Linked DNA regions of Lonchura striata. The protein of the gene in region 4 purifies or fractionates together with the protein of the main gene of each other region. This does not show direct contact. Links are inferred from orthologs where the notes say so. Each region holds a gene or a part of one and is shown on either strand. Other genes may lie near its edges. The genes, in order: RASSF3, ras association domain-containing protein 6, MAP1B and STK4.

Region 1 (7,694 bases), on a different chromosome or scaffold from region 4:
GACTGAAGAATGCTCACAAATTTTCTTCCTTCTTTTAGAGCTTTGCAAGGAGCACATTAGCTGTAGGCCAAAGTCTGTGGCCACTAATCCCAAAGTGCCCATCCAAGGACAGGCTGAAAAGCTAAACATTTTTAGGAACAGCAACCTAATCATGCTTTGACAGCTCTTTCTAAAATTATGTCAAATGCACCTTTCTGAACACAGTGACCTACAACAATACTAAATTCATTGTTATACTTAAAAAATAATTTTGTGCTTCAGCAGATTTTGTTTCTGGGTCAAGCAGAGAGGACAAGGCATCTTGAGACATGGAGTGATAGAAGCAGAACAAAAGCAGCAAGTCTGAGGGTACTATGCAGAGGCACAGTGCCCATCTCTTGGTTTACATGATGAATGAGATCACCCAAAATCTAAGAGATAGCAGAGAACATAATCTCTGACCTTCCTAACATGTCTAAATAACGAAATTTTCTATTTTGTTGTTGTTAAAATGTTACTTTATTATTAAAGCACATGTGGCTAAAAATTATCGGTAAGTATTACTGAAAGCTTTAATTGCCAGCTAGTTATTAATCCATGGGGCAAGCCTAGCGACACAGAATTGTTCTACTGGGTCATCCTGGGTCCTAGCTCATCCTGAATGAAAAATTCTGTAAGTGCCAGTCCTGGAGTAAAACCTACCAGGAAAAGACAGCAAAAAGTTGTTGGATTCTAGGAAGCAAGGGTAAATCTCTGTGTACCAAGGGATGGTAGTCAATTCTGATCAGGGCAGATGGTCAATACTGCTCAGGGTAGATTGTCAGTACTTCTCAGCGTAGGCTTTTGAGTTGAATAACTCTCTCAGAAGGACAGAAGGGCACCTTGGTAAAGAATTACCAAATTGTGATGTTTCAGAGTCGAGGAAGCTGAGGAAATGGGTAATTTTGTAATTCACCAAAAACTAAAGGGAAATTCTGGACACTGAAGAAAAATGCAGAAATGTTTGTGGACGTCAGGGTAGCTAAGGTTTAACTAACAAGTGTAACTTACTGTCTTTGTACAGACTAAAGAGAAATCAGGAGCTGTGTCTCCTCCCCTGTGAGAGGAGCATCAGGACTTCAGCTTCCAGTTTATAAGAATGGGTTCTGTAAACTTACAAGAAATTTGAGTTGAATTTTAACACTGAGATTTTTTCTGCTTGGACTCAACCTTCCACTGAATTGACACATTTCCATCAAACCCACAATTTTGTGACAAATATCTCATTGCACTGGTAGCAAAGGACTTCTAGGGCACTTCAGACATATTCACAAATTCAGTTCTAAAGAGGTGCTAAAGCATACACTAAAAATGATCGTAAAAAGATACATTTTATTCAAACCACCAGATGTAGAGGGAGAAGGAAGGCAACCCACAAAAAAGCATTATTTTTAAAGCACTCAGAGTTCACCTCTTTTCTTGTTACAAGTCACAGATACAATTATTTTTTTGCAATACTGGGGTAAAAGATAACTGGCATGCAAACATTTTCACACATGTGTAACCCAGCTAGCAATTAAAGCTCTCCATAGAAGTTATTGATAGTTTTTACTATCAATAATTAATAAAGGAGATGCAGGAATGATCTGATGTGTTAGGAGGACTCAGGATGATTTGCATGTATTAGGAGGACCTGAGATTACCAGTATTCCAAGAAAGGTTCAAAACTCTAGATTCATCAAGGAAAGTTTCATACAGACTTCAATGTCCTGAGATTTCCTTGTGAATATTTGAAATCTGTGGATTCCTTTGGGAAGAAGTCATGTGTCATTTAGGTCCTAACACCCTTACTGTGACAGATTTCAGATGGCACATCCCCTTTCAAGAGTCACAGATCTGTTGTCTCAAGTACAACACTAAGCTGCTCAGCTGTGGAACTGACCCAAAGTCTGTGCCATGCAAATACAAACTTGTTATTAATGTTGCAGAATTGACAAGTTCACCATTCTGTTCCAAAGAGTCCCAGTCAAAAGAAATCTGACCTTGTACCATTAGTCCCTTAAGAAGAACATAAAGAACTTGGCTTCCCCCACTATGGCAGTGCACATTCTTCCAACCCCCTGAGAACATGCCTCAGCCCCAGCCTTCACAGACCGTGCTAAAGGGACAAAACGGTATTTGGGCTGTAAGGGCGTTTATGAGAATGTTAATCTGAGAGATGCAAACAGTTTTCTGCCAGGCTTGGACAATGATCAGAACACTGAGATGCTGTGAGGAACAATGCCTTTAATAACTGGTCAGCTGAGCTGTACTGCATTTCAGCTGATAAAATGGAAGAGCAGGCAAGTGCATCACTGCTGAGCATAAGCCCCTCTAAGCTGCCCATCACTTTGTGTGAACACTGGTACAATGAGTTAAAGTCTTTAGTCAGTTCAGTCTTTGCACAGCCTTCTAGATCAATGAACAGCTCAAGGCAATTCTAAATAACTTTCAGGCAATTATTTGAGTCATATCAGAGCTCCTATATACATACCTAAGGGAGAAACATGGCAAAAACAAGATACCAAATATCAGTGATGTGAATAAATTATGCAGCTGCAAAAGAACTCTTTGCCAGAACAAGCCTGATGAACCTTCTATTGCTTTACCAGAATATTTTGACAGTTTTGCCTAATGACCCTCCAAGAATGAAAAAATGCAAACAATTCTGGCCTGGAAAAATTAACCAGTTCAAAGAAAACAGATTTTTTTTTTTCCCCTCTTTTTTTGTTTTTTGTTTGTTTGTTTGTTTTGTTGTTTTTGTTTTGTTTCGTTTAGCAGGAAAAAATCTGGGGAAAAATAGCAGCAGACTTACCCGGAGATTTCCAGAGAAGTTTTACCGTCCTTCTCCTCGAACTGCTCAATGATTTAGGAAACCAGTAAAAGAAACGTGCTATCCTCCTGATGGTTTTGTTCAGATCATTTCTCACTGCCATGGCTGAAAGGGCTCCACTGCTACCCCAGGAACAAGAGGCACATGTATCCAGAGGAGAGAGGAGAGCCCACGAACACCCACAGTGAGTGCGCTGGCTCTGAGCTCAGCGTCAGCCAGCACGTCTCAGGACCACCTGTTAGTCCTAAATCCCCACCCTCTCCGTCACTCCGCTCAGAGCCCTCCAGACCTCCCTCTTTATTACAAGAAGCAGCTATTTTAATAGATGCTTCAGCTAAAGAAAGACCAATGCTCTGGAGTCTTAACCTGTTACTGTGTTTCCAATGATGTTAAGACATGTTTTCTGCAGGAAAGGCTTTGAAGGGCTCCTTTTTTCATCTGTAGCTACCTTTTCCAGGCTGAAAACAAATAAACATCAAAACTGATAGTGACAAGTAGTCTTTCAAAATCCCTTAATGTAAATCAATATATTTCCTCTGTAAAGAGAGTCTCTCAAAGACTTTCTTCTGAGCAGCAGAAGGTTCTGAGCAGCAAATTTAACAGAGATTTCTATGGATACACACATTGTTCAAAATGAGACTTTCCTCTTAACGGAGTTTAAGGCAAATGTAAGAGTCAAATCATTCACTGACACAATTTACTTAAAAATTGAGCATCTATTAATATATCACTATACAAAGAAATTAACAGTATCTCAATACATAGCCTACACCTGCTTCAATCATAGTGCATATTAAATTGTAAATCCAGAGATGCTATTTACTGCAATGCCCCCTGCAAAATTTACCACAACTTCTAAAATACACTTTTAAACAGTAAGACTATGTAACAATTTCCCAAGGATGGTATGATTTCCTTGACTATGTGTCCAGCTTCTCACATTTGATTTTATTTTTTTTTTCTTCTTCTAGATCTGAATGGCAGAAATCCCTGGAAAATCAAGACTAATGTCATTACAAAACAAAGGTCCTTTTGTATCAACCTTTAAACTACAGAAAGTAAGGGTTTTGTTACACCAGCTATGTTCACAGCATACAGTTAATAAATCTTCCAGAATTCACAGTGTATTTTTCTACACTAAAATATGTGAAGTATTTAACTCCATTTTTTACATCTGACTTTCTAAACATACTGCTGCTAGTCAGGACTGAGCTACTGGTTTCTGATTGCATTTCCTGTTGTCAGTATGTCTCTAAAAACAAATAAACATTTCTATTTATACTGTATCTGTCACAATTCTTTAGCCAGTGTCAATGAAAAGAACAGAAGGCAGGACACAGACCACTGGATTTTGTCTCATTTGAGCTCCACCCTGTCATACCAGAAGGAATTTAGTAGCAAAGTGACAGTTTTAGCAAAGCAGGAGGTCTGTCACCCAATTCAGAACAAGAAAGGAGCAGAGTTAAAGGCCTGACAGATAGATTGCTTTTCTTAGGAAATAGGAGTCTGAGTGTGTACTGGCATCTGTGAAATACAAGATCAAACAATGACTTCTTTTTTTTCTGAAATTTTTACATATAAAATTGAATGAAAATCAAAGTAGCATAAAAAACCCTGAACAATTTCACACCCTAAGTAAATATGTAATAAATTGCCTAGTTTTGCGATTTGTCAAAGAATATATATATATATCTCCTTTAGCAGGATATGAAGGGGACAGGAATATTTTTTTCACTTAACAGAAAATGCTGATATAGTATCTTTATACTGGAATTTTATGAGGCTTTAAAATTTACCCAGTTGGAACAACGTAAGGGGATAAATTGACTTTGTTGATGATGGTAACAAACCTGTGGATGTTTATACCTGACAATATTTAGTGAAACAAAAATAGGCAAGAACATAAAACACTGTGTATTACTTTAAAGCAAACGGATCTTACTTTATCCAAAGACTTCACTGGGATGAATCTGGCAATTATACTGTGCAACAAACCACGTAATACAGATGAGAACACAGACCTGAATTCAAATTAAACTGAACAGCAGTGGTAGTTGCAATATAGTAATTTCACAACTTCTACATCACTTTACATTTTTAGGCCATAGTTAGGCCAAAATACAAAGCTAATGAACAGCCTGCCTCCCACAGCTCAGGGATCGGGGTGTGTGATGGTGACGGGAGTTCCTCTCAACCTGAACTGCTAGCTTTAGAATATGAGCCACTGTGCTGTGCACAGGAATGCACTGCTCTCAGCTGGACTCAGGAAAGTCCACAGAGCTCCTCCTAAGACAACTCTGATTCCTCACATTACACTGATGTATTATTAAGGTTAAGAATTCACTGTATTAGAAAGGTACTACACAGGGCTGCATATGTACCTTTCAATCTACTCTGACAGAGAGACAGCACAGAGATACTTTCCAAGGAGGACAAAAGGACCTGAAATGTGAGCAGACTCAGACTCTTGATCACTGCCTCTGTTTCAGGAAAAAAGCCACGTAAGGCTTTTTCCTACAACAGACTTCAACCCCCAGGTCACACTCTGCTCATCTGGAGGAGGGGAGGGAATGACTGCTGCCTTCATTGCTGTCCCACCTGCCTGGGAAGGAAGGTGAGCAGCTGTCCCCTCTGCTATGCAAGCAGCCTCTGACCTCCTACCTCCCCACAGCAGTGCAGAGGTCAGAGCCCAGCGGGCCCCTGTGCAGGGCAGAAATGCCCACAGAGCCTCCGTCTGTGTGGTGCCTGGGGTGCGTGGCAGGTCACCACCTAGTCAGGAGAGCTGGGTTCACCACACTGCCCAGCTGTGTCTGCCTCCCAACCCACTTTCTGCATGGCAACCTGTGCCCAACAGCTGGAAAACAAAGGGGTGCTCATGAAACATCCATCAGTTTAGACATGTCCCTGTCTACCCTGACCTACAGAGCTCAACAGACCAGCTCTAAGCAGAGGGGGATACACGGTGACCTGGTGCCTGCCTTACTGCAGCCCTTCCATACTCACTGACAGAGCTGAAAGAACTAAAAATACCCCAAACTAACCTTCATTGCTACAATAAAACACTCTTAAATGAACTGTAAACAACCAGCAGTGCTTTACTGGAAATATTCTCTTGGGGTCTGATGAGTTCATGTATTTTAAAAGCAAATTCTCTGCTAACAAGCATTTTTTAGAGCAACACAGGAGTGCTGAGATACCATAAAAATGAAGTCTGATAATCAGGAGGAGCACACACAGTGGTGCTAGATGTGAGGCAGATGCAGAAGTCTCTGCTCTGGAGCAGAAGAGCATTTTTCCTCAGTGAGGATTTACTGCCATTTCCACTCCCCCCAGCTCTTAGGCAGCAAATTGCTGGGATGAGTAAAGGATTTCATTTGCTTTGACTTCAACTGGAACTTCTCCATTTAGTCTGGTTTCAGGAACAAAGATCCCCACACACCTGTTCACAATAAGAACTATGTGTAGGAAAAGCTGAGAGTATTAAGCAGTATCTGCTTGTCTACATTGGCAAATATCCCTATTATCTAGGCTCAAAATGAGGTTTTGGTTTCTTTGCAGGCAATAATATACTTGGAAAACAAGGCAGTGTCTTTCCAACCTGTCCCAATGTGGATTATATGTCACTATGCTATATGCTACACATGCAGGCACAGTTCAGTATGGAGAAGTCAAGCCTCCACAAGGATATTTCCCATATTGATGGACCTTGAATTAAATTCTGTTCAGCTGTAAATTTTTATCCAACCATCAAAAAAAGGGCCCTGTCTAACTAGTCACTGGGATTCAGCAATACCACGACACAGCATCACTGATTTCATAACAAAACATAATTTATAACATCATGATGTGTGACAAGGCTATGCGGTTGCTAGGAAATTAATAAAGAACACAACTAATGAAAGAAAAGAAACAAAGACATGCTGCATTTGACTTTAAAACAGTTGAAACTAGCACAATACTTCCAATTTCCAGCTCAGCTGCTCATCCCTCCCAAATCCGAATAAGCAGCTATATTTGTGAGCTTTCTAAAAAAACTTTTAATTCTCAGCAGCTGCATGTACACAAAAAGAAAGGACTAAAAATTAAACAGTGATTGGCAATCTGCAACTTCCAAAACCTTGCCTCCTTTTGAAAGGTAGTAATTGAAGAACTGTAGTATTCAAACTGATGTGAAATACATCTGTTATCAGATTTAATGATCTATTAATTACTCTTTTTGGAGAATAATTTGATTTCTCCCCTTAAGATGTAAGGAGTAAGAAGCTTTCTTCTTAGCAATAGCTCCAATGAAACACATCCTGGATTTTGAGGAAGAAAATCACTGTTCCAAAGCACATTAGGTCAAATTTGATTAGCTCTTGTTTAATTCAACAATATATTACTCTGTAAATAAATGTCTTCCTGCATTGTTACATGGAAAAGAATGTCTCTCTGTGTATTTCAGCAATATTTATTCTTGATACTTTTCACTATCATCCATTGTACTGTACAGTCATTCCCTGTTTTATTTCAAATACTTCAATCAGTGAAATTTGTTCTAATTTGCTTTATGTTTTTTTCCAGAGGCAGGTAGGACCAGTACTGTGATGGAAGTGTGTGAGGGAGGGCATTGCTGTTGCTGTGCTGGTGCAGCTGAGCATCAGGAAGGTAATGCACTATTTCCTGGAGACTGCTGCTGGTACAATGTGCTGCTCTTGCTCCTCTTTACCGTGGTTTGGTTACAGGTTTACTGCATGTCTGAAGGTTTGTGCTTCAAAACTAAAGCTGAATAAAAGATTATAAAGCCAGATGAAGAGAACAATAGTGTAATGTGAAAATAACAGATTTGTGTTAATTTTAGCTTTGCATTAGATATTATATTAGT
Region 2 (6,929 bases), on a different chromosome or scaffold from region 4:
GTGAAGCAGCTGCCTGTGTCAGTGCAATTTCAAGCCATTTTTACAAGATGCAGAGGAGTTTATGTACTTTGGCACCTGAATAAATGAATGTACACTTGGGCTTCCTCCCACCTGTCAGGAAACAACACGTTAAGAGCAGTGAATAGCCAAGTCACCTCTACCAACTGTAGAGTAGTGACACCAGCAAGCTCCAGCACTGCTTCACTGCTTGTGGATGCACTCTTTTCTACACTATTTGGCCTTAAAATGATTCATCTGAAAGAAAAAGCTGATCTCTGCCCATGGAGAGAAGTGACCTTTACACACACACAAAAGAGATGAACACTCTTTCCATATGCAGCAGGTGGCTCCTAGTAAATTATTTGCCTTAAACACCTTGAACGGATTTTCAATCAGCTGGGTGCCATTAAAGTGCTGAAAATAAAGTGAATTGGAAGAGTGGGTGGTGATGGGGATAATTCTTCACCGACACCTTTCTCTTTCTCTCCATCATGGCTGCAACACCCAGGAAAAAGCCTTCTCTCCTATGGCTGGGGGAGAAGCACAGCTCTCACTATGTTCTCCTCAGTTATGTGATCTGCTGTGCTTATCAGCCTTGTACCAAACACTTCCACACCACCAGCTCACTCCAGAGATGAACCTCTTCTCCCTGGACCCTTCCCATGGGCACACTGTAGCTTATTTTTAGCCAAGGCCCAAACCTGTGGGTTGCCACCATGCAGCGACTTCCCCAACACCAGAACCTGACACAACAGATGCCAGGATGTTTGTACTGGCACTCCCTAAATCCACAAAGCTGTTAGATTTCCCATCACCTCCTGCAATCTTGCTGCTTTCCATGCCACTTCCCTGTAGTCCTTTTGAGGAAGCAAGCAAAAGTTAAATGCTTTCTCCACTGCTCCCTTTGATTTGAACTAACCAAACCATGCTAATTTTCCAGCCACTCCAACCATATCTGCCTGTGTCATTTATTCAAAGCCATCTCCTGTTTTACTTGGTATCACACAGGTGTTTTTACCATTATGTTAAACTGGACTAGAAGGGCAGAATTTCCTCAGATAGGTTACACCTGGAAAGTGGGAGCTTGGTTGGACTAAACTGCTGGCCTGAGATTTGCTTGGAGGAATACTGACTGAAGCCTGAAATACATCATGAGGGAAAGCAAAGGGAAAGTCAGGAGGAAATGAAAACTGGGAGAGCTGAAAACTGAGCATTTCTAGAGGAGGACTGCAACTATTGGAGTAGTCTAGGAAAAGCAAAGGGAAAACAGACCAGTGCACATTTCAAAACTGCAAGAGCATCAACACGTCAGGGCACAAGACAAATTTCACAAAGGTAATGAGCTGTACTTGTCTGTAAGATTCATATCTTACCCGAAATGTGTTTTTTTCCCCAAAGAAAATGTCCAAGTGTCCGTGCAGAAGCAGATAGGAGGACTTGCTCCTTTTATTCAGTATAGTGCTATTTAAGTCACTTACTTAAGGGGACAGACCAGGGACAGTAGAGTGCAGGAATGACAGAGCAGAAGTTAAGAGCAAATGGCTAAACCGATTTTTAGAGAAGGACAGGCGGCTGCAGAGGAGGACTGGAAGGAGAGGGACACCTGGGATGCAGAGCTGAGCCAAGCAGGAACAGCAAGGCAGCACCTCAGCTCCTGGAACAGCCTGGATGTGCTTTCTGGTGCATCCATCTATGGAGACAGGGCCTGCAGAGTGCAGTGCACTACGCAGAGCTTTTGCCAGTGCTAGAGAAACCAAAACCCCAAACCTCAGCAAAGAGCCCTAGGTATTTTAACCCAGCACTCCCCAAAGCTCTTCCCAACCCACAGAAAGTCAGGATAGGGTAAAACTCTGAAACTCTTCCATTTCTTTTACAGAAAGCACAAGGCTCAGCTTCCTGTTAACTCAGCTATCAACTACACACACGGGGTAATTTATACATAGGCACAACATCATGTCCAGCTGAGTCATCTTCTAAACTCACAAGTGCCTGGTATTCAGCAAATTGTTCGATCCTGATTGGTTGCTATAAAGATGAATTTAAGATTTGTTCAGATAGATAAACTCAGTATCAGCACAATAATTTTACTAGTCACATACTCTAATTACGGGACTTCACGTTCCCCTTTTTTGTAATTTTTGTTTAAGTTAGATGTCCTTACCACCATAGAAAAAGGCGGTAATTAAAACAAAGTACTTACTTTGAACAAATGTCTTTTCCCCACTAAAAAAAAGGGCTTTGTTTTTTTTCTTGAGCTTTCAGATTTCTTCACACCTTATTTTAATAATTAGCTGCTCAGTACAGAGCATTAAGAGCACTCCTTGAGTACAAATCACAGCACAAGCCCTCTGCTCAGGCAGGCTCGGAATGGGATTTGAAGGAAACAGCAGTAAATTGGATTATGTGAATACGGCCCCTTAACTTTCCCAGGCACAAGGCAGGAGGCGCGGACCCGCTCCCTCCCCTCGGGCGTCGCTAGAGCGGGGCTCGCACACATCCCTTCCAAACTCTGCTACCCCGTTTTAGGAGAAGTGACTTTCTGCTCGCAGCCCACCGGCACAAGCCCTTCCTAGCCGCCGAAAAGAGCGCACAAGGTCGCCGATGTCGCTGCCGAATCTCCGCCGCACCGAACGCAGGGCGCGACCTGCGACCGCCCGCCCCACCTCAGCCGGCTCTCCCCAAGCCTTGAGGAACTTCTGCCGAGCATTTCTCCTTCCCCCCGCAGGGAATGACCCCAGAGAGTGTGCCTGGAGTTCCGGGCGGCTGCGAGGGACCTGGCTTCCCCCGACAGAGCAGCGCACACAGCGAGAGGCCAGCCCCGGCCGTCCTTGGCTCACCTGGCCGGGCGGTGCGAGCAGGAGGAGCGCGGCAGGAGTTTCACACGCCTTCCCCCGAGCCCCCAGAAAGGCATGGCAGCACGGCCAGGGCGCACCGCCACCTCCGCTGCCGCTCCCCGGGACCCACCGAGCTGCTCATTCCTACTTGGCTTAACGAACCGGGAAGGCTGGGAGGCCACAGGACACTCCCCGCAGCTCGGTGCACGTCGGGAATATTTACCTATCCCACTTTGCTTACTCCAAGCGCGGACAGGAGCCCGCCCTTAGCCGCGGTTCCACCTCCAGGAGGCTCCGGTTAACGCTTTAATCGCTCGCTTGAGCAAGGGAGGCAACCTGCCGACTCCCCGGAATCAGCTGGTAACTCGCCAGAAACATCCTGTGCCCAAAGCACTTTAACCTCTTCTGCTTCCTAATCCATTGGATAAAGTATGCTTTCCCTCAGATACATGCCCATCTTCGGTGTTTGGGGGAATAAGTGGCACAATCCATCAGATCGTTACACAGATTTAGAACATTCTGACAAATAGTGACCGCACAGCTTGATCCCTTAACCCCACACAGTTATTTTTGCTGACCTGTGTAATGCCCTTATGAATATTACTGGGCAAAAGCTGCATCTGTAAGAAGGAAAGCATGGCCTCTTACTTTATTTGCTCAGCAGTAAATTGCATAAGCAGATGCTTAAGCTAGAAAAAAGAACTGAACCAGGACACACCTTCACCATTCCTACGTTTGCCCATCTATTTCCAGCAAATAATTTATTCACCAGATCAAGCCCAAAACAAGAAGTTATTGGGCCACAGAGAAGCGCAGGAAAAATGCTGAACCTGAATTTGCCTTCACACCCATCTTATTCCACTGATTCATATCAAGTTCCTTTTGCTTTATATAATTTGATGTTAGGGAGAGGCAGAACAGACTCAAATACTCAAATGTTTGATTCCTGATCACATACTATCCTGTGGTATCCTTCTCTCCAGAGACGGACACGCTGCCAAACACACGCCACAGCAAGCCTGGTGTTTGGGATTAAAGTTTGTATTGCAGTTTCTTTCTTTGCACCTTGAAAAAAATCCTTCACACAAGGATTTAATTGGTATTTACAACATGGAGAGCCACTCAAAACAGGAGGGAAGCAACATGCAAGGTTTTTTTACTCAGTTCATAAGAGCATCGCAGCTCTGTGCTGGGACTCAGAGCTTCGTGCCAAGCTCAGTCTCTGGAGCTGCTCCATCTCAAGTGGGACAGTTGAGCACAAACCCACACAGCTTCCCAGCTGCTGGAAAACCAGAGGTTTGATTTTTCCTGTCCTGGCTTCAGATATTTGAGCACGCTGCCTGGCGCTCTGGGATCAGAGAACTGGAGCAGACAGCAATAGCAGCCTGACTCCTTCGAGTCTCTAACCCAGGGTAATGTCAAATATCTGTCTTTGACAAGTCTGTCACCCTGCTGGACACTCACACCATGAAGCTGTTTGGTACCAGGAGGTACTCAAGTATTTTTATGACTGAAGACAACACTATTAGCTTGCAACAGCAAAATGTGATGTTAACCCTTCCCCAGCAAGGATAAATCAGACTTTATCCTGACCCCAAATTTTTCAACTTAAAAAACAAACAAAACCTCAGATTTCTAGGGATAGCTTTTTACTTTTTCCTTTTTTTTTTTTTCCTTAAAGCTTATAACCAAGTTTTGAAAGCCCAATGTTTCAAGTACTTAGATTCATGCAAAGATGTCTCAGTAAGAAATTATTACCATAAAGCAAAGAAATTTCTAATTGTAATAAAAACCTACAGTTCCCATTTTCATAAAAGCAGATGTGTTGGTCCTTACCTTGGCCTGGGCAACGTGGCTCTGGTTTGTTTCCAGTTCTCTCTCTCACCCTTGAACTCTTCCTACCAATGGGCAAGTTTTGACCTCATCTGAGTCACAGAAAATTACCTGCTGAGTAATTGGGAAGGACTGGTCAGTGCAGGCTGGGAACAGGTATGGGGAGGGGAATCAGGTCCTCAGGGTCACAGAGCAGAAACTACTTTTACTGTCAACTCCAAGAAACAGAAGGCTTTGATCCCTTTCATAGAAATTAAATAATCAATGCACAGAGACAATTATTTTTTTGTCTTTCATAATCAGCATAGTTTGCATGGCCTGGAAACCTATGAACAAGTCACAACTTGGTAATACTGTTTTACCTCCTGAGTGAAAGGGTAACAATAATTTCTTTAGAACAGGCAGGAAATGTGATGATCCTGGAGTCTTTACAAACTGTGTTACATTTCTGCTCCTTGCATTATTAATAACTAAGTAATTTTAGGTTAATAAGTAATTGGAAATTGGAGTTAAGCTACTTCATAACTTGGCCTCAAACCATTAACAAACACACTGCTAAAGATAGGAGAGAACCTCTAAGAGGAAAAACAGAGATTCCTGTTCTATTTTTGTAGTAGACAATCAAAATAAGCAGGCTGCCATGGCAGCATCACACACACACTTCAGTGGAAGGACTTTGATAAACACAAAATATTCCTTTGTTTCACAGTAAGAAGGAAAATCCCTAATCCTGTTTGCAAACACTTATTTCTAGACAACTCATTAACTTCAAGCACAAAAAATTCTTCCGGGATTTTCTGAGCTAGCTACTCTAATGCAAAAGGAGAGCCTCATCTGAAAAGACCTGAATTTAACTCAAAAACCCCCCTGTGATCAATTCTTCCATTCTCATTACAAATGGTACCAGAGTGGCGGCATGATCATAGGAACAAATCAAGAAATTAAAACCTGAATTTAGGCTGCAGAGGGCCTCTCACTCCTTAGCAAGATTATTTTCTGTCATCACAACCAAGTGCCAACAGCAGTACATGTTCTGGAGCCACAACTGATAAGCACAGAAACTAGAAACTGGGTAACAGATACTAGCTCAGATATTAAAATACATCAGAAAAATGAAACACACACAAAGGCTTATGCACTGTCATAGGCCAGAATCCTTCACACACACCATTTGGTGGGTCCATGAGTTTTAAAGGAACAGAAAAGAAGCAGAGCTGAAGTTGGCAGCAGCCCATGTACTAAAGTTTTAAATATCACATCAAGAACTGGAACTTACCAAATGCTGACCTTTGCCTACCTGGAAAGCAGCTTGCAGGTCTCTGTTATTATCCCCATGAGCCACTGCTGGATGGGCAGGTCTGACCCAAGCATCTGAAACACCTTTAGTCATGCCTCGTGGCTGTCATTGCCTGTGCACACCCATGAAATCATCCATTTAATATTACAGGACTTCACAGAGGTACATGAGGATTTTTTACTGCCTGGAGCTACAAAATATCAAAGAGGACAGAACCAGAGGGGACTTCCCTGTGGCAAAGAGCTACAGTAATACAGCTTGTCACTCCCACTAGTGCTCAGGCAGGAGTCAAATCACTGCCTCATCACACCCAGCCGCCTTGCACAGCCCTTAAAAACTGTAACTTGGTCACACTCAAGATTTTCAGATGTGCATTTTTCTTAAATCCACAAAACATAATTTCTCCTTTTTTTTTTTTTTCCCCTGTAGGTCATGGTATATATCTGGATTATTCTGTCTTTAAGATACAAAACCCTTGGTCTGCCTTACTTTTGACAGCTGCTATCAAGACCCTCCCAATCCCACACAACAGCCTGACACCAATGCATTACAGGATCCTTTTATGCTCCATCACCCCTCTGAAATGACCAGTTGAGGGCATGAGACTGCATTGTCTGACTCTCTTTTCCCATTTGCAAGTAGTTTTCTTCAATCTTCTCTTAAGGCAGGTGAGTCATCATGTGGACTGTCTCCTATTTTCTATTTCATTTAAAAATGTCTCTCCAGAACTCCCCTCAATGGAACAGTCACTTCCTAGAGTTCTGAGAAAAATTCAGATTCCCAAACCGAAATTGTTATCATCGTTCCTGGAAGGGCAGACTTGCCTGCTACAGCTGGGACATCCTTCCAAAGTGTCATTTTTTTCTCATTTAGAAGAGGTATAAATATGCATTTTCAATTTGAAAGGTGTTACACATCAAAGCTTCTGTACAAGAAGGACAGTTTGTCCCTGCAGCAAAACACGC
Region 3 (7,143 bases), on a different chromosome or scaffold from region 4:
ATCACAAAGCTGAAATACACTGAATGAATGAGTGCTGAACTTCAAGAAGCTTGAAGAAAAACAATTCCCTGGCCTATGACACCAAGCTTGGGCAGAGAAACTACAATCCTTTCTAGAGGTCAGTTGACATGAACTATGATTTATCAACACTGCTAATGAAAGGACTCATCCACCATCCCTAGCTGCTTTAGATGCGATCCTAATTTGCTGTAGGGATAAGGTGCTGATTAGATGTAGTCAAGATTGCTCAATCATTGCCTGATTGAGCCAGGCAATGTCCAAAATACAGGACTCAACACAAAATAAATAGGGGGAAAAAAAATAGGGGATAAAAGCCTTTATGCCCTATGCACGCAGTAGTCCTAGAAGCTGAAGGTGGAATTTGGGTAGACTATCTAAAATATGCAACTGCATGATTCAGCAATCTGGATGCAAAAATTATGCATGCGTATTATAGCGGAGTAAAATGTATTAAATGAATGATACCACTAAATCAGGTTTTCGGTGGAACAAAGATAAACATGGAACTAAAATCCAAGGTCAATCCAATGATGGCTTAGAAATGTGGACATATCTGCTATAAACATGGCTGAACTGGAGCTATTTCCTTCTTTCTGCAGTCTTAGAAATGCAATGCCACTAGACACAGGACTAATAAGACAGCAGGGAGGGCACACCCAGTAGCATCTGCTAAATCAGTGGAAAAATCTTGAAGCTTCTTCTTCACTCCCCTCTTCTCTTTTGGTGGACTGTGGGTTGTTGGAGAATTGCCCCCTTAGCAAAGTCACATCCAAAATGTAATTACTGAAAATGCGTCTTGCCACACCATTCCCTCCCCATGATATATTAAGAAATGACTCTGCATTCCACCAGGTTGCGTAGCATCACACCACTGATGTGTTATCAGCAGATGTTTTCTTTGACACGTTGCTCTGCAGTTTGGCGCATGAATCCACAGTTTTCAGTGATGGTACTCAGGAGATGTACCAGAGAAGACAGTAAGGCAGAGTTATGGAGAACCAAAATGCATTTAAAGCTCTATTGAGAATAAAGGCAGCAAGAAGTATTTTTTTCCCCAGACTACAGCAGACTTTCCAAAGAGAAAATTATTAGCTGAGCCTGCAATTGCCTCACATAGACAAAGCGTCAGACTCCCACTTTTATTTATCCAGAAAAATGTACCTAAAAATTTCACCAAGGAGTTTTCTTAGGAGGCAAAAATCTCAATCAAATGGTCTAATACTAGAAGCATCAAGGTCACTTCTAATCCAAAATGATTAATTAAAAGGTCAAACACTCCCTCTGAACACCTAAACCTGTAAGTGGGTGTTATGCTTAGTGGCAGGAGATAGCAGTAATTGAGCTATGCAGCAGTGACTGTACAATAGGAGATTCAAGAAGGGACTGGAGAGCATTTCTTCAGAGGGAGGATATTAGTTGTCTTGAGGGAGTAAATTTTACCAATTTGCTTTATAATCTTTGACAATTTAATTAAAATGCAGCCTGTTCTTTTCTGACACAACTGAAAATTAGATAGAGTTAAGGAAGTGCGATGCTGAAGAAGCTCTGAATGACAAAGCACCTGCCTCAGTAGCTCTCCCCAAGAGACAATGGTAGCAATAAAGATAGAACAGTTTATGATGGAAATAGTTAGCTGAGATGAGGATGCCTTTTACCTCAAACTGTAATGAAAAGGAATCCAGAGAAATAAGCAACTAAAGCAACAATGGTTGAGAAAGCAACAATAGAGAGACACAGATGAAGTCCTAGCTGGACTGCTGAACCACACCTACATGACAAGGCTGCTACCAATTCCTCGTTCCGGGATCTCTTCTTCACTCTTAACAATGGCAGTTCCATAAATCTTTGTTTTCACCAGCCCAGAACAAAAAATACATATTATAAAATCAGCTATCAACTGAGTTTAAGTAACTGTAAGGTCCGGCAATAATTTTCTTCATGCTTTATTCCACTGATACCGTTTATTTTTTTTTTTTTTTTGTTTTTGTTTTTGTTTTTTTTTTCTCCTCTCTGCATATACACTGAAATCTATTGTATCAAAAACCACAACGAAAACTTATAAAACTGTCATTTCATTTGCAATACCACGCTGCATCGCCGTCTTAAGAAAAGGACAAATAAACGCCGAGTCAGAGGAGCCCGCAGTCGGACAATAACGAGGCTGAGCCCTCGGGTAACAGCCTTGTTACTCATAAAGGTTTTCTTTATTGGAATATATACGCGTATATAGAACTTAGGTCCTGAAAAATTGTCCAGACGACAGAAAAGTCCCAGCACCCAAAGTTAGACACAAAGGCGCGGCTGCGCTCCCGCCCGCGCAGCCTCTGCTGCCGAGAGGGAAAACGCCCCGAACCCGCGGGCTTAGCGCGGCGGTGGGGGACGGGGAACTGCGGGCGGCAGCCGCCTCGCAGCCCCAGCCCAGCCCATCCACCCCATCCCCAGCCGCCCTTTGTCCGCCCCGAGCAGCCACCGGGACCGCAGTGCGGACCGTGCCACGCCCACCCCGGTGTCTCCGGGCAGACGGGCTCGGCGGCGGGCGCTGCGCTGCCGCCGGCCCCTCCGCCCAGCGATGGCGGGGACGGGGCTCGCTGCGGCTTTCCGCAGCGCCCGCACCCCGCGGCGGAGCATGGGTGGGTGGGCGATTGCGGCGGGACCCCCGGGGAATAAAGAGCCGAAGACGGCGGCTAGGCGGGATGATGTCGGGGGCTATCCCGGCTCCCGGCCGCGCCCAGGGAGGGGCAGGGCGCCGGCGGGGGTGTCGCGGCGCTGCTTGCGGCACCCCGGCTCCCGCCGCCTCACCTCGCTCGATATTGGTGATGGCCCGCCGCAGGTGCTCCTCGGTCACCAGCTCGCCGATGACCACCAGCAGGTAGAACTTGCTGTCTAGGAAGCGGTGGGAGAGACTGGGCGAGGTGGAGGTCGGGTTGGGGATGCTGCAGGAGGGCTCCGAGTCCACTTCCACCACTACGGTGGCCATCGCCTCCGCCCCGCGGCTCCGGGGCGCTGAGCTCGGCGGCGGCTCCGCGGGCGGCAAGGAGGGAGTGAGGGCGGGTGGGGAGGCGGCGGCGCTTTTATACGGAGACGGTGCAGGGCAGGGACCTGGTGAGGAGGAGGAGGAGGAAGGGGGGGAGCCGGCGCATCCTCCGCGCCGCCGCCGCCTTTCCAGCATCCACGGCTGATGTCATCTGCGGCAAATCCTCCCCGCGGCGGCCCCCGGAAGCAGGAAGGACGCGGGGGGCGAACAACGCCCCGAGGGGACGCCAAGGACTGCGCCCCGCGCCTGGCTCCCGGCCCGGCCGTGCGACCCCCGAGCCCACTCCCCTCTTGTCCCTTGCTCCCCGTGCCCGTTCGGGCCGTCACCCCGAGGCCCGTCCCTTAAAACAGGGCGATGAGGAGCCGCAGGTGATGGCCTGGCAGACCTGCGGGGCTCATGTGGCAAAGCCAGCATCGCGCCTCCTGCAGCGGTCCAGAACCGGATGAAAAAGCAGTGCCACTGCCCAAAGCCAGTTGTCCTCTCCTACGTCTTGCTGTACTACTGCCGCAAAATTTGAGTCATACTGAAACACACCCTCACCCAGCAATCTAAATATTCTTGCTAACTTTTTAAATTTAAAAGCAGTTAATTTGATAAGATACTTCACACATAGTTCTTCTGCACATATTCAATGCCCACGGATATATGACACCAGAAAAACACTAGTTTTGGACAACATGCTGAAGCCCGTAGTCTTAGCTTATTCAAAACTGCAGAAATTCAAGAGCTTTAATAAGTAATGTTGACCAGGCTCAAGCATCTCCATGGGGCAATGATAGCAGAAAACTTATACAATGACAGAACCAAAGGCTTAATTTCTTTTCTCATAGATATTAGTATCTACATCCCAATACTCAGTGATAGCAACCTCTGAAAAGTATGTTACTTGCTCCTAATGATGGAGAAGTCAAATCTGTCTGGGATGTTCCTCTCACTTTACTGACATAGCCAAGCCACTCGTTTACACTTAAGCCTCTTGTTTATATGGTTCAAGTGATGTGGGATAAATTTCACTGTGACATAGGAAAGGATATAAACTTTTATAGCTTTTTTTTTAAGATAACCTCTTGTCCCTGACTGAGAAGACACCTCCTCTGTCTGCAGCTTCTTACAGTGCTGGATGTGCAGATTCTCTGCCTACTGCTTAGGAGCACAGTGCTTGCCTGGATGAACGAGTATATCAGCCTCATCTTCTCTGTATTTTGTTCCAGGGCACAGTGGACTAATTCACATGCATTTCAGGTTGTCACTACTAAGTTTTTTCTGTCTTACTAGCTTAGAGGCTACAGTTTCAACCCACAAAGGTTAGAACAGGATCATTATAAGTGCTGGTCCATAGTGTCTATAGCACCTAATGGTTTTGATATGAACACTTCCTCTGCATAAATACAGCACTCAGAGTCTTGGCTTACACAGTGTGGTGTGTTTGGATGTTGCATCCAAAGTAGACTTTTCCTGAGCTGCCGTTATTCTAAAGGTTGTGGAGTGCAGACAAGCATTTTCACAGCCATGTCAGGCGGCTGAGATGACACAGTGGTAAAGAGCAGCAGTGCTCATTCTTCACTGAAGCTGACACTGCTGATAGAACAAATGCAATAGTGTAGGTGCAGAAGAACTAGCAGCACTTTTAAGGTTTGCAAGGTATTCAAAGGTGCAGTGTGTTCCTCGTGGAATACCCCTGCTAATCTGGGCCCCACTGTGACTTTGCTGTTTCCTGTCATAGGATGGTGTAGATGCCTACTTAGAAATAATATCTATCCCCTATAGCCTTTTCCTATATGAACCCCTTCCTAATAATTTATTATAATTATAGTTACCTTCAAGACTTGCCATGTGGTACCCACTGGAGAATGCCAGCTTCAGGCTTCTGTCACTGCAGTCTGTAGTTTTGGGCATGCCTTTATGTCAATCACCAGCAAGAATAGCTAGTCTCTCAAGCATGGATGGAGCTCGCCAAGGGGTCTTGTCAACTGGTTGCAGAACAGACAGATGCTGGTTCCTGGACATAAAGGTAAAATAGTTACTTGCCTCACAAGTACAGCAGGTTAAATGTGATAGAGAAATGCACACCAGTACTCAAAAGACACTGTATACACTTTTAAGCACTTTCTTATTTTAAGTAAAAATGGAAACATCCATAGCTGGAAAGATGCCAGTGAGTTTGAAAAGCAAGAGCCAAAAAGAATGCATTTTACCAGAGAATAAAATGCTTACATACAGGTAGGTGATACAGTTACATATGAAATAGGCTGCTCAGGTAGTCCTCTATTTCACATTGCAGTGTAAAATAACATGCAGTTAGAAAGTGGTATGATAAAAGATGAACTGTTACAGTCAAACTGTCTTGTGATGGGTGATGCATCACCCATTAAAGCCCTAAGGGCAAAAGATTGTCTTTGGAAAGAAATGGTCTTGTGGTAAACTCTTCAAAGGATGCCGACCTCTGGCTTTGTCTATTCATAAGCTTATGCTGCCTCATCAGAGATGGAAGCTAGACAAGAAAGGTGCTTTATGCTCTGGAACATATCTCTGAGGAAGCTGCAGGGTCCCAGCTCCATAGCCACTTTTCCACACTGTGTCTTGCCCTGTCAGTATCTCAATCAGGTAGATTAGTTCGTCATCATCTGGAAACTAATTTATATTCTGCAACATGGAGCATCAGGTCCACTGCTGAGTGAAATGTGGAGATATGCTGCACAAAGCTGACTTAGTGTCCTGTGACACTAATCACTGTCTGAGAGTGATACCACCTGCCTATCTGCAGCTAAATTACATAGATATGCCCCTTCAGTAGAAGAAACTGCACCATTCATGGACTGTGGGATATATCTTACTGTTTCAAAGAGACAGTGATTGAGATCTGCACCTGTCTGGCTTTTGATCTTCTTGGTTTGATTTTGTTGTTTTATTATGTTCAATACCAAATTGGAGTCCCACAGCTGAATGTGGTCAAATAGTATTTGCAAAGCTGTATTTTTTCAATGCTGTATTTTTAAAAGACACAGTTTAAATAAAGTGCTTGAAGTTTAAAACATGCTTCTTGGTAGTATGTGCCATTTGTTACCCACTAATATTCAAGTTTCATTCAGGTCCAAATTTCAAATTTTAGATGATGTTTCAGTGATGTACAAACCTTTAGACTGGCCCTTTGTCTCAGGTCAAGTGTCATCCCTACCATAAAAGAAATACGTATCCATATGGATTGCTTCAGATCACTTGACATACTGAGTGGGGAACAAGAGGTTGGTGAGCAGCACCGTGGAGGTGGACCTGGGGTTGCATTTGAGTCAGGCAGCCAGGAGGGCCAGCCGTGTCCTGGGGGCATCAGGCACAGCATGGCCAGATGGACAAGGGAGGGGATTGTCCTGCTCTGCCCTGCCCTGGGGCGGCCTCACCTCAAGTGCTGGGGGCAGTTCTGGGTGCCACAGTAAAAGTGAGATACAAAACTATTGGAGAGCATCCAAAGGAGGGCCATGAGGATGATGAAGATCCTTGAGGGGAGCTGCTTATAGGGAGCAGCTGAAGTCACTTGGTCTGTTCAGCCTGGAGAAGACTGGGGAGATCTCAGTGCAGTTACAGCTTCCTCATGATGGGGGACAGACACTGATCTCTGTGGTGACCAGTGACAAGACCCAAGGGAATTGCATGAAGTTGTGTTAGGGAAGGTTTAGGCTGGGTATTCAAAAAAGTTTCTTCACCCAGAGGGTGGCTGGGTACTGGAACAGGCTCCCCAGGGAAATGGTCACAGCACCAGCCTGACAGAGTTCAAGAAGTGTTCGGACAATGCACTCAGGCACATGGTGTATTCCTGGGGTGACCTGTGAAGGGCCAGGATGTGGGCTTCAATGATCCTCATGGATCCCTTCCAACTCAGGATATGCTGTGATTTTTTGAATTTAAGATCTTTACAGAAACTGAAGTGTCTTCATTGAGAGAAATGCCAGTCTGAGGATTGCACAGTATGTCATGAAGGGCGTTCTTCACATCTGTAGGATTTCTTAAGGAAGGACTAACTTCTAGAGATGGAGAATTTCCAGCCTAGGCCTGGGATGACAGTTTCACAGAATGGCTGGTTGGAAGGGGCCTCT
Region 4 (7,770 bases):
CAGTGTCACAAGTTCACTCCACCAGGAAGATCTCCCTCAAGATGTACCAGGGATGAACCACAAAATCTCTCAAATTCCCAGAGAGCTCTGCCAACTCCTGGCTGGGATATTTCACAAACTTTTAAACTCCCTACTACTGACCGATAACCTGATATTTGGATTAAGCTATTGCATTCTTGGGAAACAAATTCTTTATTCTGTTATTAACCAAACAATGCCACTATGTCAGTAACTACCTTTCAGAAACAGGACTATGACAAAAGTGAAACATCAGAGTCTGCTGAACACACCTCCATTACAGATGCATTTTCCTAGAAAAATGCATACTGAGCCCACTGGAACACAACACATACCCTTCTCCAAGCTTCTCCAGGACATCAAATACTTCTTCAGGTTGTTTGGTTAAACTGTCTTCGTCTAACTTCTTCAGCTGCCTGTATGGGTAAAAAGAGAGAAATTATTACATTTAATTTTATGGCAGATTGGGCTCTGCTGAAACAGAAGAATAAATAGCACCACTTAAACATCCAAAAGGTTTGGCATGAAGTAAATTGATTATGAAGTATTTCCCTATATTTCACCTGATTTTCCCAGTATTTCACCTGATGAGGAGACTGGATATTATTAGCACCCAATAGGCAAAAAGGACTGGGAATTACAAAGCACAGAGTGTGAGCAGGCACACAAATCTACAGCTCCTCTTGGCAGAAATCAGTTTCAGGATCTATATGCTGGTGGTCACATCTCAGCATGGCACAGTCTTGAAGCCATTGAACATATCTGCAGAATATCAATACTGGAATGGAAGGATAGCTACCAAAAAAAAGGGAACATCATCTTCCTTGATGATTAGAGTACGTGTGGAATACATTTGTTGGGAGGCAGGAAGCAATACTACTCTCACCTGTACATTTTTATCATCAAAACTTCAGATATTAACTTCATAGGCCTGGACACTTACTAGGAAGATTCTATCAGGAAAAAGGAAACTGTATATGACTCTCAGGATCTTAATGCCATCCTTCCTACAGTATTGCTAATAAGAGTCAGCTAAAATAATTTCTAGGAATAAAAACCTGCCATGTGCTGTGATTCTTCACGTGGGCCCCCTTCCCCTAGTACACCTTTTAGGGAGATTCCGTGCATAAAGCAATAAGAAGCTCAATCATATTTGTTTGAGTCTACGCTGGAGAGCTGTTCATCAAACCTCCTGAAACAGCTAAGGACTACATAACCAAAAAGTCTGAAAACAGTATTTTATTGTCAGTGGTAAGAGTATCCAACAGCCCACAAACAAGTGCTCTTTCATTTTCACATGAACTAAAAAAAATCTGAAACAACAATAAACAAAACCAAAAAATAGCCAATAAAACCCCCTCCAAACTCCCGAAACCATCTCATTCAAGTTTTTTAAACACAGAAACTTAAAATTTTGAGTCTCAGAGTTTTTAGCACTGACTGGTGTTTAAAGTAAAACACACGCGGTTGCCTGCAACTGCGAATTACTCCTGAAAGCTCTTAACAGCTGCTGCTAAAGATCAGGACTCCAGTTACAGGAATATTAATTTTTATACTAAATATATAACTTTTTTTACCCAATTTCTTCAGAAATAGAACGAAAAACCATTGATTGATCCTTGGCTATTATATTTATGCACAAAAGCCACATGGGAGGAGCAGCTCACGCATGGAGCACATACAATGGCTTCCTGAAGCAGAGGAAACATTATATAGAAGCAGACTCAGGAAGTGGTGAAATACTGAAAGTAGCTGCTAGCTTCCCTGCTCAGATAAGCATTAACCAGAATTTACTTGTCCCTGTGAAAATAGAGAGGGAAGAAGGTGTGGGAAAAGGGGAAAAGCAAGTAATACATGCACCAGAAAACACACAAGCCACCATTTCCAAGGAGCCCAAAATGTGGTGACGCAAGAGGCAGACCCTTCTTATTTGAGGCCTAAATTCTACAAGTATAAAGAAAGAAAAAAAACCAACTTTTCATATACCAAACACAACAACCAGAAAACTACTGGGCTTGCAGCAAGCAGCCTAATTTCTACTGCAGACCAGAGCCCAATTACTTTGCATTGTCCTGCTCCATCGAGTGCACTAGCTGCTGCCTGACACACTCTGCCGTTCTCCTGGATGCTTTACAGGTGCAACAGCAACACAAACCCAATCTCACCTCTGTTATTATTCAGATCTAATCTTAATCACCTGCCCTGTAAACACCGGCATAAGCAATTCCAGAATAAAACGAAGGTTGTTTTGTTTTTTAACAGCACATACATCACTGTTTAACCAAGGGGGCCAGTGCCACTGGGGACCAGCGCCAGCAGCTTCCTTTGTTCGCTGCCGAAGCGCTCCCCGGGCCCAGCTGCGAGCCTCTGATAGGATTCTGACACTGACACTTCACTCAAGCTGCCGCCGGTCCCCAGCTCTGCCCCGCGGCCCCGGCCCGGCAGCCCGAGACAGGCGACCCACGGCTTCCTTTCGCCCCGAAACGCCGAGGGTCGGGCTCGGTGTGCCCGGTGTGCCCGGGCCGGGCACCGCGCCCGGACACGGCACCGGGGGCACAGACCCGCACGAAATTCAGCCAAGGAGAGACGCGAGGGGAGAAGTGACGGGGCTTTGTCAGCGCTGTGGCACGGGCCAGCACACCGCGTACGGCCGCGGAGCTCCCGCAGCAGCGCGGGCAGCGCCTCCTCCCCAGGGCTCCCGGTGCTGCCCAGCACCGACCTGCCCGGTGCCACGGGCTGCTGCCCCGGCCCCGCGGCTCCGGAGGACCGAGGGGGCCGGAGCCCGGCGCGCCCGCAGCCCCGCTCCCGGCCCCCGCGGGGGTGACCCGGGCCGGCGCATCCCCGGTCCCGGCAGGGACACGCCCCGCGCTTACCGGCGCGGGTTCCGCAGCTGCACCGTCTCCATGGCGGCGTGTCGGTGAGCCGGGTCTGCCCCTCACCGCTCCATGGCACCGCTCCGCCGCTTCCGCCCGCCGCCGGATGCCGGCGGGGAGCGCCCGCCCCGGCTGCGGCGGGCGGGGCGCGGCTTCGCGGGCGCGGCGGCGGCGCGATGGCCGCGTCCCCCGGTGCGCTGCGCCGGGCCGGCAACGAGGAGTTCCGCCGCGGGCAGTACGGCCCGGCCGCCGAGCTGTACTCCCGGGCGCTGGCGCAGCTGGAAGCCGCAGGTAGGGTCGGGGCGGGCGGGCGGGGGCAGCCCTCCGAACCCCGCCTGAACGGCGTGTGCCCCGCGCAGGGGATGCCGGCGCCGAGGAGCGCAGCGTGCTGCTGGCCAACCGCGCCGCCTGCCACCTCAAGGACGGTGCCTGCAGCCTCTGCGTGGCCGACTGCACCAGGTGAGCGGCGTTGGGGCCGGAGGGAGCCGGAGGGAGCGCTCGGCCGCTTCCCCGCTCGGCCGGGGCGGGCGGAGCAGCGGCGGCCCCGGGCGTGCCGGCTGACGGCGCCGCGGGCGCTCTGCCCTCCGCCGCAGCGCCCTCCAGCTCGTCCCGTTCGGCATCAAGCCCCTCCTGCGGCGGGCAGCGGCGTACGAGGCGATGGAGAGGTACTCGCTGGCCTATGTGGACTACAAGACGGCGCTGCAGGTGGACTGCTCCGTCCAGGCGGCACACGATGGAGTCAACAGGTAAGGAGCGCTGCCCGGTGACCAGAGGGAGCAGCCAAAGGCTCGGGAGTACGGCAGCTGGGTGCTGCTGCTCCATCCGTGCTCGTTCCTGCTGCCTGGCTATGCTCCCTCTCTGCCTGCTGGTACCTATAGCTCCTTTCAGGTCGAGGTCTGGGAATGATTGCTGTGGGACTGTTTTTGCTTTGACCAGTGCCTGGTTTAAAGGAAATAATGAACTGACGTTCATACCCTATCCTTTAAGCATCTCTATGTTTGCTGTGTTTACAGGCTGCTATAGTCCTGTTCTCTTTCTGGTGCTCTCTGCTTGCCAGACCAAGGAGTGAAATGCATGTCTCTTGCTCACCTGAGCAGTCACAGCCCCAGCCCATGTCCTGTTGTATTTTTAGCCCTGCTGGTGTGAAGATAATCTTTTTGCAAATGTCCTGTCTGTAGAATAAACCTAGCTGAGATGCATGTAAAGAAATCAGCAGACAGATGCTGTTCTTAAATACACAAGCCAGGTTAAAAGTGATGTGGCTGGCTACTGCGTGGCCCAGCCAGCCAACAGCCAGGGTGACTGGCAGCTGTCTCTTCCAGGATGACTAAAGCCCTGCTGGAGAAGGATGGCATGAACTGGCGTCAGAAGCTCCCACCAATCCCCACAGTGCCTGTTTCTGCCCAGACGAGGTGGAGCATTCCTGCTGCCCAGGCCCCTGGGGCAAACACTCCTCCTGCAACTGCACCACGGGGAGAACGAGGTGGGAACGAGCCCTGGGGCTGGGCAGAGAGCCCTGTAGCTCCCAAGGGTGATGAACAAGACAGCTGCCACACCTGCTTGGTGTGTTTGCAGCCTGGGCTGAGACCTGGAGAAACCCAAGCCTGGTTCTGCCAGAGCCTTTTCAGTTGATTCTGGTTTCTTTGATGTCTCTGTGTTTTGCCTCTGGCATGGGGATATTTGTTTTCTGTGATGTTTGATATTCTTGTTGGTTTTATAGAGTTGTGTATCCTTTCACACCATTTCCAGACAAGACTGCTGCTGACATGGAGAGAGCTAGAATGCTTAAGGAAGAAGGAAATGAATTTGTAAAGAAAGGAAACCATAAAAAAGCAGTTGAGAAGTATAGTGAGAGTTTAGAGCTCAACAAGGAATGTGCAACTTACACCAACAGGTACTGTTCAGCTCTTTGCCCAACTATTTCTTGGCCCTAGATAAAAGCCACCATGGTACTTCCTAGCAGAACTGTTTAATATTTGCTCCCAAACTAATGAATAAAACAAAACTACCCCCTCAGGTTCATCCCAAGTGCAGCCTCCCCTGTAATATACATTCTTTGATTAGGTAGTACAGAACCCCTTGGAGACACTCCCCTGTGGGCTGCCAGGGGATTTCTCCCTTGACTGCTTTGTCTGACAGGACTCAAGTATGTTGAGTGGTCTCTGCTCTCTTACAAACCTCAAACTGCAGACTGTTGTTCTTAAACACTCAAAGTGCTTCTAAGGCAGTTGCAGCAAGCAGAGCAGGGGCTGCACTGGCAGAGGCAGGAACCTGCATCCTCAAAGTGCAAGTGCAGGTTCTTTGGCTTTAGGGCAGGTTGCTCTAAACATCTTCCTTTTTATTTCTTTGCAAAAACCATTTCCTTTTCTTCCTCCCTGTAAATGAAACAAACCTGAGCTCAAGATTAAGATGGCATAAGACACGAGGATGGTTTTGGAGCCCAGCTTTGTGCTGCACTGGCAGCTGCTCTGTGTGTTGTGGCAGTGGATGCTGCTTTCAGCCAAAGGTCTCTGAGCAGGTGTGTGTGTTGCAGAGCTCTCTGTTTCCTGACCCTGAAGCAATACAAGGAAGCAGCACAGGACTGCACTGAAGCTCTGAAGTTGGATCCTAAGAATGTCAAGGCACTATACAGGCGTGCTCAAGCACTTAAAGAACTGAAGGTAAGTCAGGAGTTTCTGAAGGGCTTTAGGCTAGGACTAGATGGCTGTTGATGCATGATCAGAGCCAGGGATACCCTTCAGGGTTTGTTTCTGTGTTAGGCAACCTCTGCCATCAGACCTTTAAGGACTGAGAGTCAGACTTTGCTGTTTGAATCTCATGAACTTGTCAGAATTAGGTCCAGTTTTAGAGATGCTGAAGGCAACTGCTTTTCAGAGAATCACAGACAATGCTGAGTTGGAAAGGGCCCACAGGAACCCTCGAGTCCAGCTCCCCACCCTGCACAGCACCAGCCCCAGCAATGACACCCTGGGCCCGAGAGTTGTGCAAACACTTCTTGGGCTCTGTCAGGCTTGGGACCGTGACCACATCCCTGCGGAGCCTGTTCCACTGCCCACCCATCCTCTGGGTGAAGAACCGTTTCCTAATACCCAAACCTCCCCTGACACATCTTCAGGCTCTGCCCACAGATCCTGTCCCTGGAGAGGGACCAGTGACCAGAGACCAGTGTTGTGCTGGGCTTTTATCTTCTTGTCTCATGAGGAATGCTGGAGTCAGTACTGGAGTACCTATTGCATTGGTGTTGGACTCAGAAGGCACTTGAGTGATGAAATTATCTTCTCAGCCCTAGTTTGAACATGTTTTAGAACAGCTACATCAATGCCAGTGCTGAGCAGTTACAGGGAGGGAGGCACAGGCTTAACTGTGCTGTCTTTGCCTCTGTTGCTGGGTAGTAGTTCTGCCTTAGACTGCCTTTTTAATGCACTACCCCTTAAAAAATATTCTCTTTCTAGGATTATAAATCAAGTATTGCCGACATCAAGAGCTTGTTGAAAACTGAACCAAAGAACACAGCTGCACTGAGATTACTGCAAGAACTGAACAGAGCCTAGGGTAACCAAGCAACAAGGAAAGCTTTCTTTTCCACTGCAGAGAAAAGCTTTCTCCCTTCTGCTGTTGATACAGGGACCAGTCGATGCGGGATTGGTGTTAAATCTCTCTTCCAGTGCTGCTGAGATCTAAGAGGTTCTGTACCAGCACAGTGATTGTTAAGACATAATCTGCATCAAACTCTATTCAGCTGGCTCTATGATCATGCACAGTTTTAATGCCCCTCCCCAAGAGGCACTTAGGTTAATTTTCCTGGTTGAAGTCAACTTGCCTCTAACTATTGGCCTCAGGGACTCTTTACATGTTGGCTAAGATGCACAGAAGTGGCTGTTCCTGTCTGAAGAGCTACAGAGGGGTTTTAGTCCTTATTCAGGTGACAGTTTTGCTGCATTTGTGCTGCTATTACTGAAAAAGTCGCTGCAAGAGCTACTGTAGTTGCCAGAGCTCTACATACCCTTCATGTGACAGGGGCTCAGTTACTTGCACAGGGCCAAGCTTGTTCCCTCTCCCCCTTCATGCCTGCTGGCCCTCAGCTGGGTTCTGCTGCTTAGTGTGGCTGGGCAGATGTTTACAGTAGCAGCTTTCTTTAATTATTCTGCACATTTAAGAAAACAGCAGCAAGTTAAGCCTGCCTTGTTACACTGTGCACTGTTCTTTCAGATTCTGGGTGCTTGGGAATTTTGCAATGGTTTGTTTTGTCCTGTTTTTTTTTTTTTTTCCTTTTTTTAAACCACTTTAGCTCTGTGCCTTTTGGAGCAGTTGCTGTGGGGTGTTACAGGGAGGAAAATATGCAGTAACACCCCAGCTGAGGTCTGGCTTACTACTTCAATGCATGTTTAAATTTCCCCTGGTCTGATATTGTTGGCACTGATTTTAAATAGTAGATAAAAAGATACTTGGAATTACTTTGTGAACTGTTAAAACCTATTCTCATTAAAGCCATGTTTATTTTCATTCTAGGACTGTGTTTTTTGTGATGGATGGAACAGGGGAAGGGGAACGCTTGATTAATCATTTCATACTGTCTCCTCTCTTTCCCAGAGGATTTTAGGCACTGTACAGGGGCCTTGCTCTTTCAGACAGTGACCACAGCTCATAGTTGCCATTAAAATTAGAGTTCAAAGAACCAGAAAGCCTACAGCTCCAGGGACATTGGGGCTGGGAAAGGCATGCCAAGGAGAGCACAGCACTGCATCATGGTTTCCAACCATTGCTCAGCCTTGCACTCTGCCTCAGCTAGTAAGATGCCGGGCAATGCTGGACCTAATCCAACTCATAATACAGAATAATAAGATCAGATAATAAGAAAAAGCTAGCCCTTGGTCAGGGT

What was found.
Region 1: the proteins of STK4 (region 4) and RASSF3 purify together in Homo sapiens (affinity purification with mass spectrometry; 5 studies listed by BioGRID and IntAct, with this or other methods). This does not show direct contact. The link is inferred for Lonchura striata from reciprocal best matches to the Homo sapiens genes STK4 and RASSF3.
Region 2: the proteins of STK4 (region 4) and ras association domain-containing protein 6 purify together in Homo sapiens (affinity purification with mass spectrometry; 5 studies listed by BioGRID and IntAct, counting the BioPlex papers as one, with this or other methods). This does not show direct contact. The link is inferred for Lonchura striata from reciprocal best matches to the Homo sapiens genes STK4 and RASSF6.
Region 3: the proteins of STK4 (region 4) and MAP1B purify together in Homo sapiens (affinity purification with mass spectrometry; 5 studies listed by BioGRID and IntAct, with this or other methods). This does not show direct contact. The link is inferred for Lonchura striata from reciprocal best matches to the Homo sapiens genes STK4 and MAP1B.

The regions. Positions count from the first base shown.
Region 1 is NC_134607.1:42,828,630-42,836,323, reverse strand, and holds the start of RASSF3 (ras association domain-containing protein 3), read right to left. Parts: upstream 3,006-7,694; 5' UTR 2,934-3,005; coding exon 2,813-2,933; intron 1-2,812.
Region 2 is NC_134606.1:73,241,685-73,248,613, reverse strand, and holds the start of ras association domain-containing protein 6, read right to left. Parts: upstream 3,016-6,929; 5' UTR 2,838-3,015; intron 1-2,837.
Region 3 is NC_134642.1:15,334,154-15,341,296, forward strand, and holds the start of MAP1B (microtubule-associated protein 1B), read right to left. Parts: upstream 3,014-7,143; 5' UTR 2,999-3,013; coding exon 2,821-2,998; intron 1-2,820. UniProt on the Homo sapiens protein: Facilitates tyrosination of alpha-tubulin in neuronal microtubules. Phosphorylated MAP1B is required for proper microtubule dynamics and plays a role in the cytoskeletal changes that accompany neuronal differentiation and neurite extension.
Region 4 is NC_134619.1:9,279,915-9,287,684, reverse strand, and holds the start of STK4 (serine/threonine-protein kinase 4), read right to left. Parts: upstream 3,003-7,770; 5' UTR 2,924-3,002; coding exon 2,892-2,923; intron 435-2,891; coding exon 354-434; intron 1-353. Other genes in the region: TOMM34 (mitochondrial import receptor subunit TOM34), read left to right, coding at 3,068-3,182, 3,251-3,350, 3,485-3,637, 4,214-4,374, 4,641-4,785, 5,425-5,551, 6,344-6,442. UniProt on the Homo sapiens protein: Stress-activated, pro-apoptotic kinase which, following caspase-cleavage, enters the nucleus and induces chromatin condensation followed by internucleosomal DNA fragmentation.